Oryctolagus cuniculus: one gene and its partner. The protein of the gene in region 1 interacts with the protein of each later gene in a pairwise test. Links are inferred from orthologs where the notes say so. Each region holds a gene or a part of one and is shown on either strand. Other genes may lie near its edges.

Region 1 (5,355 bases):
ACTTTCAGGCATGGCTACTAAAATTTTGTCATTTAACATCTGGTGCTTAATTTTCTACATCATAGGGCAGTGTGTCTTCCACTCTTACATCACTTAGGATAGCACTGTATAAGAATCCCTTTTACTTAATACCAATTACGTTGCTGATGAAGGTATGATAATGATGGCGTCAAGAGACACACAACATAAAAGCATCAGTCACAGTATGTATATTTCCAGCTGTTTATGTTGCTGTTGTCATAGTCATCTGAACTTCATGATTTACTCAATGCACTAAGACATTCTAATCTTAATCTGTTCACAAAACTAACAAGATGATCATTTACTAGTGCTCTGGATTTTAAATAGTGAGAGGAAGTGAGCATTTCTCTTCAGTACTTCAATAAAGGCAGCATTAAGCCATCTTGTTAGTAGTTAGTAATATCCCTGAACTCATCAGTTGATAGTTAAAACTTTGGAGTGGAGGCAGTCAGTTAAATAATATCAGATAAACTGACACAGTTTCTTCCATCCTTAGATGCTCTTCCCATCACATCATTTGTCATTGAACTGCCTAGTTTTCTGTTTCACAGTCAAATCCTCAGAGGGTTATCTGACCTTGGAATTAAACACTCAACCTACCACAGGTGGATGTTTGGGGTGACATTTAAAAGAGTACTGCATTTTTTTCAGAACTTTCAGTACAGAGAAGAAAGCATAATATCACGTTCTCAGTAAGATGCAATGTCACCATGTTTCTCCAAGTCAACAAGGAGCCAGAAGTAATGCCTTTAAAACAAACTCACCCAAGTAACAACCTCTTAAACACTGGAATAAAGCCAATCTGTTTATTTCACAGCCTATTTCTGTGCTATTGGATGTCTCCTTATAGCAGAGAATAAACTAGAGGGTGGGGGGAGGGAGTAAAATGCTAAGGAGAAGCAATGAAAGGGGATAAAAGATCATGATTCAGATGGTGGAGTTTATAGATGTCTCAGTAATTTATATCGTGTTTTTTGCTCCAGGATTCCATAGATATACATTTTTGATAATTTATTGTTCTATCATTATTACTGCTGACTAAATCTACTCTGTCAATCTAGTAGTTGGCTAATTTAAATCATGGTTTGTCATCTTAACAAACAGAAAATTATGCTAGCTAAGATTGGTTCAGTGGTATCTTTTTTCAACTTTTTTATTTATATAAAGTGAACAAATTTCATGTATACACATTTATGAGCATAGTGATATCTAAGAGGAATCATTTATATTTTCTTTACCTTTTATTCACAGAGCAAAGATAATCTGTAGTCATTCTAGTTTTATCAGTCTATGTGATTTTTAAAGGGATAAATGAGAAACATTTTCTTTTTTAAGAGTAGACCTTCAATTATACTTTTTATTGTCGTAATTGCAGAATAAGACTAGTTTTTTCTCTGATATGAATTTTTTATTGAATTACAGAAAGCAGTTTTTTTTAAAATAAATTCTTTCATTGATTCTTTTCCTGAAATTTTCCTTCTGTTGTTAGCTGTCCACTCAATAGATGGTGCTCTTTTCTCAGAGACACTTTCTTATTTTATTGCTTATCAAAGTATCAGGGAAATTAGCTTTACTTTTTAACAAACATTAATTAAAGAAATCAGGCATATAAATAGGACAAGTCAATTACAAGCAATTTGCAGCACTTTGCTAAGGAAAGCATAATGGGAACAGTGATTATTTGTTAAAGGATTCAAGTACTCCACTGAAACCTGCGAAATACTTGCTGAATAGGTGAAGCAAACACTGTAACTAAATATGAAAATGACACATTGGCTGCATACCTACAACCCCCAATGGGAAGAAACAAGCCTTACTAAGGAACTATGTTAAACAGCTAAAAATATTTGTTTACTTCTTAAAAAGTGAATATTTAGTATTCCACATTCACATGATGTGTTTGGTATACATATCAAGACCAACACAAACAACATCAATCTCATTCAATATTGAAAATTTGCTCACCCCTTGTCTAATGAAGCTGGAACATCTGGGAAACAGACAGTAAACCATAAATTCTTTCGAAATAATTTTACTAAAGACACATTTTCTTTTTCCCAGAGTGCCTATGACAACTTCCTATGTAACAGTTTCTAATGGAGAATTATGATGGGTCACTCTTCATCTGTTCCAATGTGTGGAGACACTGAAAAACAATTCTGTTCTCCTGAACCACCCTACCCACTCAAGATGCAGCTTGCAATTGCTGTAGCAGAACCACAGCTGTCAACTGCAAAGGGTGGAGGTAACAAAGTGACATTACCAGGGAGAGATACCAGGAAAACTTCCTCTGCCTCATGTGGCCTTAGGGTGGAAGCAGGAATAGGTACACGTGAAGATCAGGGGTGGGGCTGTCTACAGAGAAGTCCTCCTGTACCAGCAAAAGTAGGAAAGTTGCCACCTGAGTGGACTCAGCCTCCCAATTCGGAAAAAAACACACCTAAACGTCCTCCCCCATTCTTCACAACTTATGATGCCATAGCTCTTGCAAAGGGAGCCACCGTAGGACTCTGTGCCAAGAGTTTTCTTGTCTCTGTACAAGGGAGAGCTTCAACATGAAGCATTTTCCCCCAACTCTCACCCCCAGAGCTTTATGCCTTTTATCAAAACAGCTTCTCTGTTCCTGAATTTTTGGATTTTTTCTTTACCAGTGGAAGAAAAAAAATAGAAAAGTAGCTCCCCATCCACAAACACACACAGCAACCGCTCCATCTGGGGTCGCCCCCAACCACACGCTTAGTCTTGGGATGCAAGGGCCTTTTGGGAGCCCTTTTAGCCGCTGAACTCCCCGTTCACAGCCCTGGCGCCCTCCTTACCTGATGATCACGTACATGACCAGGAAGTTTCCGAAGAGACCCACCACGCACACGATGGAGTAGATGGCCATGATAGTGACGGCTGTGACCATGGAGGGACTGCCGGTCGGGGGGCACAGGCCGTCGCGTCCGCCCAGTTCGGTGCGGTTCGGTCCACACGGGTCGGACAGGTTGCTATCGAAGTGGGACAAATTGACCCAGGACCCGGGGCTGGGTGCTGGGGAGCAACTGGAGGAGTGCGCAAAGGGATCAGTGCAATTGCTTGCGCTCGCTGGGACGGCGCTGCTGTCCATGGTGCTGACGGCGCTGGGGAGCGGGAGGCCAGCTAGTCGGGAGCCTTGGGACTCGGACTCTGGGCGCTTCAGCCACTGGCTCTGGCCACGGCGGCCGCAGCTCTTTGCGGTTTCTTACCGGGACCAGCCTCGCGGAGCCAAAAGCAGCGTCAGGCAAAAGGCGACAGCGGAGCGTCTGACATTATCCTCTGCTGGTGGCCCCTCCCACCTTCGTAGTACACAGAGGCTCATCCCAACCCGGCACCACAGGGCTGAGGAGGGCAAGGCAGGCGGTGCGGGCTCCGCAGGCTGGAGGGGAGGAGGAGGGGGGAGGTGGATTTTGCGCAAAGCAATCGGAGGAGTTGGTCCTCACCCTTCGCGCTCTTGAGAGCAAACACCTCGAGGGCGGGCGGAGCTGGAAGGGAGCTGGAGGGGAGGGGTGGCCAGAGAGGAACAGAGCTACTTTTGATAGCAGGGAAGCATAAACGAGGGGGCTGATAGATCTCCATTTTTCCAGCGCCGGTTTCTCTTTTTAATCTACGAGGAAAGACACTGGCACGCTATAACTCTAACAGCCCTTGAGCCCCAATGCCCTTCCATCTCTATGGCCCACCACAATTATTGGAGGTAGGGGGCACAAGATCCTCTTTCCTCTACATCGCCTCATCTGACAGAAGACAATCATGTCTTTGAAATTTCCAACTCTACAAACCTGTCTGTACCCAGAGAGATCCTTTATTTATTTATTTATTTATTTATTTTCATAGAAAGGATCTCTATGAAAATAAATAAATAAATAAATAAACTTTGTGGAAGAAACCTGCTCCCTTTATTTTTCATTGTTTCAGTTTCTCTAAGAATAGATGTTCCATTTGCATCCTTCCATAGAATTAGGTAGATTGTGACATGCAAAAAAGTCAACTGAAGATATTACTGATCCACATCTGAGGTCTCCAAGACCCTTTCAGAATGATTATACATTCCATCTGCGAACATACCAGATAGGCGTATACTTTTCAGAAGAAGGCTGTTAAACCCAACAAATTTTGTTTTATTTCATTCCGTTTTCTAGTGTAGACATTCCAGGAGGAAGTACATAAACTTCTGCGCTTGGAGTAGCCCACAAAATGTTCTCGAGGAACAATGATACATTAAAAAAATTTGTATTCACTTTTAAGTCCGTGAGCTCTTCCAATTAAAAAAAATGTAAATACAGTAAGAATATTATTTGTAAAAAACCAACACTAATTCTGCAGTAATTCTCATTTCTGTGCATGAAAATATCTTTTAGCCATAAACACTGGAAATAAATATTCCCAATTGCTGATGGAATAACTGCAGTGTTTTGTGAGCAGGGAAGAGGGAAACCTGAAATCAGCTTTTAATTCCAATATTACTTTTAGGCCATCTGTCTTGAAAACAGATAACTCAAAGGTAAGCTGTATTAATCATAGGAGATATTGCCAATGTTCAGTGTTATTTTTATACTTTATTATTAAAGGGTGTAATTTCAGCAATAAGTTCTTTTATGAAGACTAGTAAAAATGCCTAAAAACATTATAGACTTTGATTTAATGTGTCATCTCATTTGCGCTGAGCTCTGCTATTCATTCTGTCCTTTGAGGATCCATAAAACCAACACATATAAACTTCAAATGGAGGACAAGTAGGCATGTGGAACTGAAATCCTGATATGGGAGGCAAATCATGTTGTGAATGAGCTTTGTCACTTTTTATCTGTATGAATTTGGGAATGTTACTTTACCTTATGGAGAGACAGTTTTCTCCTCAGAGTAAGAATTTGAACTTTATGCTTCAACCATATATTCACAACCAAGATTGGTGTTTTCCTTCTGTTGTTCTTTCTCATATTTGGCTGATGAAACACCTATATCAACAAGACTGAAGGTAAAGGATGGAAAAAGATATTCCATGCTAACAGAAAACAAAAAAGAGCTGGTATAGCCACCCTAATATCAGATAAATAAACTTTACTAGGAAAACTGTTAAAAGAGATTAATAAGGGCACTACATAATGATTAAGGGATCAATTCAACAGGAGGATGTGACTGTAATAAATGTATATGCACCTAATTCCAGGGCACCTGGCTATTTAAATGAAATGTTAATGGATCTAAAGGGAGACATAGACTACAATACAATAATAATAGGGAACTTCAATACTCCACTTTCAACACTGGACAGATCAACCAGACAGAACATCAGCAAGGAAACAACACTATAGA
Region 2 (5,206 bases), on another chromosome or scaffold:
CCCACTTGGTGGGTAAGGAGCAGTTAGCTCCGGGCAAGGTATCCGAGCTGGCCTTTCGTCCCTGGCCTGAGAGATGGGAGGGGCCAAGGTGCCTGCCTATTCCAAGGGCACCCAAGAAGCACGTGGTCACACAAGGCAGCTCCCTTCCCTCCTCCTGCCCCAGGCCCAGCCCTGGCCAGCTGGGGAATGACAACCTGCTGCCTCTGAGAGCCGCTGCTGTGGAACCTCCCACCCTGGTCACCCTCCACGCGGAAGGGCAGCGTGGCCAACTCTAGGCTCAGCCCCCGTCACGCCTCCTGTGCTCTCCAAGTGCCCTGCACCATTCCCCTCCACAGGGCCTTGCAAGGCAGTGTCCTCTGCTCAAAGCCCATGTCGTCTCCCTGCTGCCCCAGCCAGCTCCCACTGACCCCCACCACAATCCAGTTCAGCTCTTCATTTTGCTCCTGCAGCTTTGGTCACTGAGCCAGGCTCAGTCCCTACACCCTCAGCATGGTCCCCTCGTCTGTTCTCACTGAGCTTTGGGTGCACGGGGTGGGGATTTGCTCCTTCTGCCGCCCCGGTCAGGAGGACAGTGACACAAACCAAGGGCCCCAGGATGAGGTGGGTGCATGGGTGCACCTGGGTCGGATGGTGAAAGGTGTGGCTGGAAGATGTGCTTGCGGAGTAAGGCGCCTGGCAGGGGCCAGCATGGCAGGGGCACCAACCGGGTTTGGGTCAGGACGGGAAGGACACTGCTTTGGCCGCCAGTTACTGGGCAGGTTGATGACCACAGCACCAGGTGGGCCAAGAGGACAGAGCCTGAGGCCCTACAGGAGGACTCGGGGCCATTGGGGAAGGCAGAATGCACGACTTTTGAGCGTGTACAGTGCTGGCTGGGGCAGCAGAGACCAAAGACAGACTACGCAGGAGCAAGAAGAGAAGGAATCTGGGGCGAAACAAGCCAGCCCCAGCCCCAGCCCCTGCCCCAAGGCACGTCTTCACAGCGCAACACACACCTCACTGCTGATCAAGTCCGGTTTATTTTCCAAGCATAAACAGCGGAACTAGGAAGGAGTGATGGGAACAAGGTCTCAGTCCTGTCGACAGGCCCAGATCCAGCACAGGCTCTGTCTGGCTGTGTGGTCAGGGCCGACCCAGCAGCTTTTGCCTGGAAGCAAAGGGCGTGCGGACAGCCCAGGCACAGGCAGATTCCGGTGGGGGTGGGGCAAACGTTGGCTCTGGGTCCCTCTGGACCAGGTGAAAATGAACAAAGGGCCCACGTGGCACCCTTGGCCAAAGGCAGGCCGGGCCAGCTCTGTCTGTGCCTGTGACAAAGCCACATTCTGCAGAGGAAGCCACCGTGCCCTCCGGTCACCAGGATGGCCCGAGCGTTCCAGAATGACCGGCCAGCCAGCTCTGGGTTTCCGAGCTCCGTCCTCTCCGCTGAGCCTTGGCCGAGGGGACATCCAAGGCAACCACCCGGCTCAGGATCCCTCTGCTGGGTGACAGAAGCCTCAGCACCAACCCCCTACACATACTGCTTCTTGGAAGCCGAGCTGCTAGGGCGACTGGGGGATTTCCGGCCACTCTGGGGGGGTGGGTCCAGGAACAGGGGGGGCCTGGAGGAAGCCAGCCTCTCCTCGGTGGTCAGGTTAGCCCAGTTCTGCTCACTGGACGAGAGCCCGTTGTAGGTCGGGCACGGTGGGGATGAGGGCCCCTCGCCCATGGGGAGGTAGAAGAAGACCTGGTCGGCGTAAGGGTCTGAGGCGGTGCCCTGGGCTGGGGGGGCGCCCTGGCCCTGCCGTGCCCGCAGCCCCCGACTGAGGCAGCGGCACAGCAGGTACACCAGCTCCAGCAGGTTGAGCACCAGGGAGATGAGTCCGACCACCAGCATGAAGATGATGAAGATGGTCTTCTCTGTGGGGCGAGACACGAAGCAGTCCACGCGGTGGGGGCAGGGTGCACGCTGGCACACGAACACGGGCGCCATGGTCCAGCCATAGAGGCGCCACTGGCCATACAGGAAGCCCGCCTCCAGCACGCTCTTGCACAGCACGCTGGCCACGTAGGTGCCCATCAGCGCCCCACGGATGCGCAGGCGGCCGTCCTCCGCCACTGAGATCTTGGCCATCTGACGCTCCACGGCTGCCAGCGCCCGCTCCACCTGCGGGTCCTTGGCTGGCAGGGCCCGCAGCTCCCCCTCTTTCTGGCGCAGTCGCTCCTCGCGTCGAGACAGGTAAATGACGTGGCCCAGGTAGACGAGGGTGGGCGTGCTGACAAAGAGGAACTGCAGCACCCAGTAGCGGATGTGGGAGATGGGGAAGGCCAGGTCGTAGCAGACATTGGTGCAGCCCGGTTGCGCCGTGTTGCACTCGAAGTCTGACTGCTCGTCGCCCCACACCGACTCCCCGGCCAGGCCCAGGATGAGGATGCGGAAGATGAATAGCACCGTCAGCCAGATCTTGCCCACCACCGTCGAGTGCTCCTGGACCTGGTCCAACAGCTTCTCCAGGAAGCCCCAGTCACCCATGGCTCCCGGGCCACCGTCTGTGGGGACACAGGGAGTGTCAGCCTGCCACCCTTGCCCACCTGTCTCAGCCACGAGCCCACAAGGAAACCCAGGCTCAGGGAGCAGCAGGACAGGCCTGGGCTCCCACCCAGCGGGCCATCAGGACCCAAAGCACAGCTTCGGACAACGGCTGCCAAGTCCTCTGCAGGCCCTCATTCTGAGTCCCTAGGTGGTAGGTGCGGCCAGAGGCCCTATCTAACGACACATGTGTCCCCTCTCGTCCCCAGCCAGAGCCCCAGGATGACCAGAGTCCCAGATCTGAAGTGGGTTGAGGATGCTTCACTTCGGGGAAACAGAGAATTTGAGAATCTTATCCAAGGCCACCCAGCTGGCCTATGTCTCTTCTCCCTTCTGCCAGACGCTGCCTCCCCCAGGCGCAGGGCAGGGGCAGGGGGAGGTGGGGGCGCGCAGGTGTTGTGCATGGCTCTTAGGCTCAAGCCTCAGGTCTTTCTCTCCCTATCACCTCTCCCCCAGCTGGCCTCAATCTCACCTTTGCATTCCCAGTGGAAGGCACAGCATCACGCATCAGCTCCACCTGCCAGCAACATGGTTCACCTGCAACCCTCATCCTCGTCCTCCACCCCCAGGCCTACCCCACCTCCAACTCCAGACTCCAAGGATTGTCACTGCAGGGCTAAGACAAAGGTCACAGAGTTCCCAGGCCATCTTGGGGGCCAGGCGCCTCTTTCCCTAAGCAAGCTGTTTCTCTGGCCAGGCTCTGGAGGCAGACCTGGGTTCAAATCCTAGCACCCCGCGCGTGCTCTCTCTCTTAACTGGGCCCTGGGGTAAAGTCACCACTAGTGGACACCTCCGTCTCCTCTCCCGGGAAATGGAAGCAGCCATCCTCCTACCTTCTAGGGCTGGGGTCCGGGTTTTGTGAAAACAGGGAGGACCCGCTCTGGACACAGAGCCTGGGCGGTTCCCCTCCGGGCTTCTCGGCCCGTGGGCACCAGGGCAGAAACTCTCTGCGTGCCACCCGACCTCCCGCGGGCAGGCTGCACCACCCTGTCCCCCGTCCGCCACTCACCGCTTGCCTGCCGGGCCGGCCCAGGTGCAGGTGGGGACGACGGCGGAGCGGCGCCCGCGGGAGCCCTGCGGGACCGCGCCACGGGCGCCTTAAATAGCACGGAGGCGGGGGTGTGGGGCAGGAAACGCGGGGGAGGGCGGTGGGGCGCTGGGGAGAGACGGGGCGGGGCCTGGCCCGGGAGGTGCGGCGCCCCGCACCCACCCCTCCCGGAGGTGGCCCCCGGAGTCGGGGTCCCCGCCCCGCGCCTCCGCTGAGGTCTCCGAGTCCCGAGTCCCGTATTCCCGACGGCGGCGCAGTCCCCTCGCTCGGTTTCCTTGGCTGGACGGGAAGCGCTGGCCCGACAGCGTGAGAAGGGGATGCGCGCGTGCTGGGGCTACTCCTTTGCCAGTTGTGCGCGGGACTTTCCTCCTTAGCGCTTGGGGTTGGGGACCACGATGGGAAACCGGGGTGCACTCCCCTTGCTAGAGCCGCAGCGGCGAATTCGGGACTGTCCCGGTTCCTGGCAGGGCACACAACCAGAGGCCACTGAGCACCTCCCTGGAGGGTCACGGCTGGGGGCTTCCTGATCTTCATCTTGAATTCCAGCCCTCTCCACCTCTAAATGGGGCAAGAGGGTGGGGCGGGCCGTGGGAACGCAGCGTGCAGCTGGGGGTGCGCGGGCCAAACCCGGCCTCTAGCAATCCCTCCGCTAACCAGGCAGGTGCAGACTGAGATCATGGTTGGCGGGAGGGTGTGATTCACACGTGGGTAGTTCTCCCCAGGGTTCCAGGAGAGTCGCAGGGGCTCAGGGGCTTGGATGGGGATATTGGTGCAGGAGGCTGTTGGCCAGGTGCCCGGGGAAGGGCCAGAGGGCTGGGGGCTGTGAGGCCTTGGGAAGGTGGCGGGGAGCCCAGAGGTTGCGGCTTTGCTCTTGACTTCTGTGCCCTGGGCCTGTTTCTTCCTCTGTGGAGGGCGCAGGAGTTGCTGGGAGATGCAAGCCCATGGTGTGGCACAGGTGTGGGGAGATGGCACCAGTGAAATCTGGAAGCATTGTGGCAAAATGCAACAAAGGATCTGTGAGTTGGTCTGGGAGAGAGCTGAGGAGCCCTCGATGGGGGCCGGGGAAGCCAGTGGCAGGTGGACGTCGGGGCCAGGGGTTGGTGGCAGAGCCCAGCTGCTGGGTGTGTAGAGCAGCAGGTAGGGTGGGCTTGGACCCAGAGCTCCAGGGCTGGCTGCTCCTGGGGGCCTTCCCTCCCAGGCCTCTCCCTCTGGGCCAGGCCAAATGGAGTGTTCTGGATCTGCAGAGCTGACAACTTCGTGCCTGCTCAATTCTGACCTCCGAGGTCGTGAGAACAAAGGCCCCTGGAGGCTGGCTTCCGCCACGCCCCGCCCCGCCCCGCCCCCATAGCAGCCTCTGCGCCTGACTCCTCTCCTGGGGCTGGGGCTGGGGCTGGCTCTCCACAGGGCTCTCTGCTTCCATCTCCTGGGTGGGAGCAGATGGCAGGCGGGGGCTGGGGGGTGGGTGACGTCAAGACTGCACTGACCACGTCCTCAGCGGCTGTGGAGGCCAGCGTTTGAATAGCCCAGCACTTTCCCCAGAGGAAGAAGGAGCTGGGATCCACTGGGAGGACCCTCCCCACAACCAGGCCAGT

The links. The genes of interacting proteins can lie anywhere in the genome.
Region 2: the proteins of OPRM1 (region 1) and GJA4 interact in binary tests that used the Homo sapiens proteins (3 or more experiments, as listed by UniProt). The link is inferred for Oryctolagus cuniculus from reciprocal best matches to the Homo sapiens genes OPRM1 and GJA4.

What each region holds. Positions count from the first base shown.
Region 1 is NC_091436.1:13,655,605-13,660,959, forward strand, and holds the start of OPRM1 (mu-type opioid receptor), read right to left. Parts: upstream 3,264-5,355; 5' UTR 3,131-3,263; coding exon 2,838-3,130; intron 1-2,837. UniProt on the Homo sapiens protein: Receptor for endogenous opioids such as beta-endorphin and endomorphin. Receptor for natural and synthetic opioids including morphine, heroin, DAMGO, fentanyl, etorphine, buprenorphin and methadone.
Region 2 is NC_091438.1:137,810,756-137,815,961, forward strand, and holds GJA4 (gap junction alpha-4 protein), read right to left. Parts: upstream 3,701-5,206; 5' UTR 3,576-3,700; exon of another isoform or gene 3,400-3,575; intron 2,527-3,399; 5' UTR 2,510-2,526; coding exon 1,508-2,509; 3' UTR 1,001-1,507; downstream 1-1,000. UniProt on the Homo sapiens protein: One gap junction consists of a cluster of closely packed pairs of transmembrane channels, the connexons, through which materials of low MW diffuse from one cell to a neighboring cell.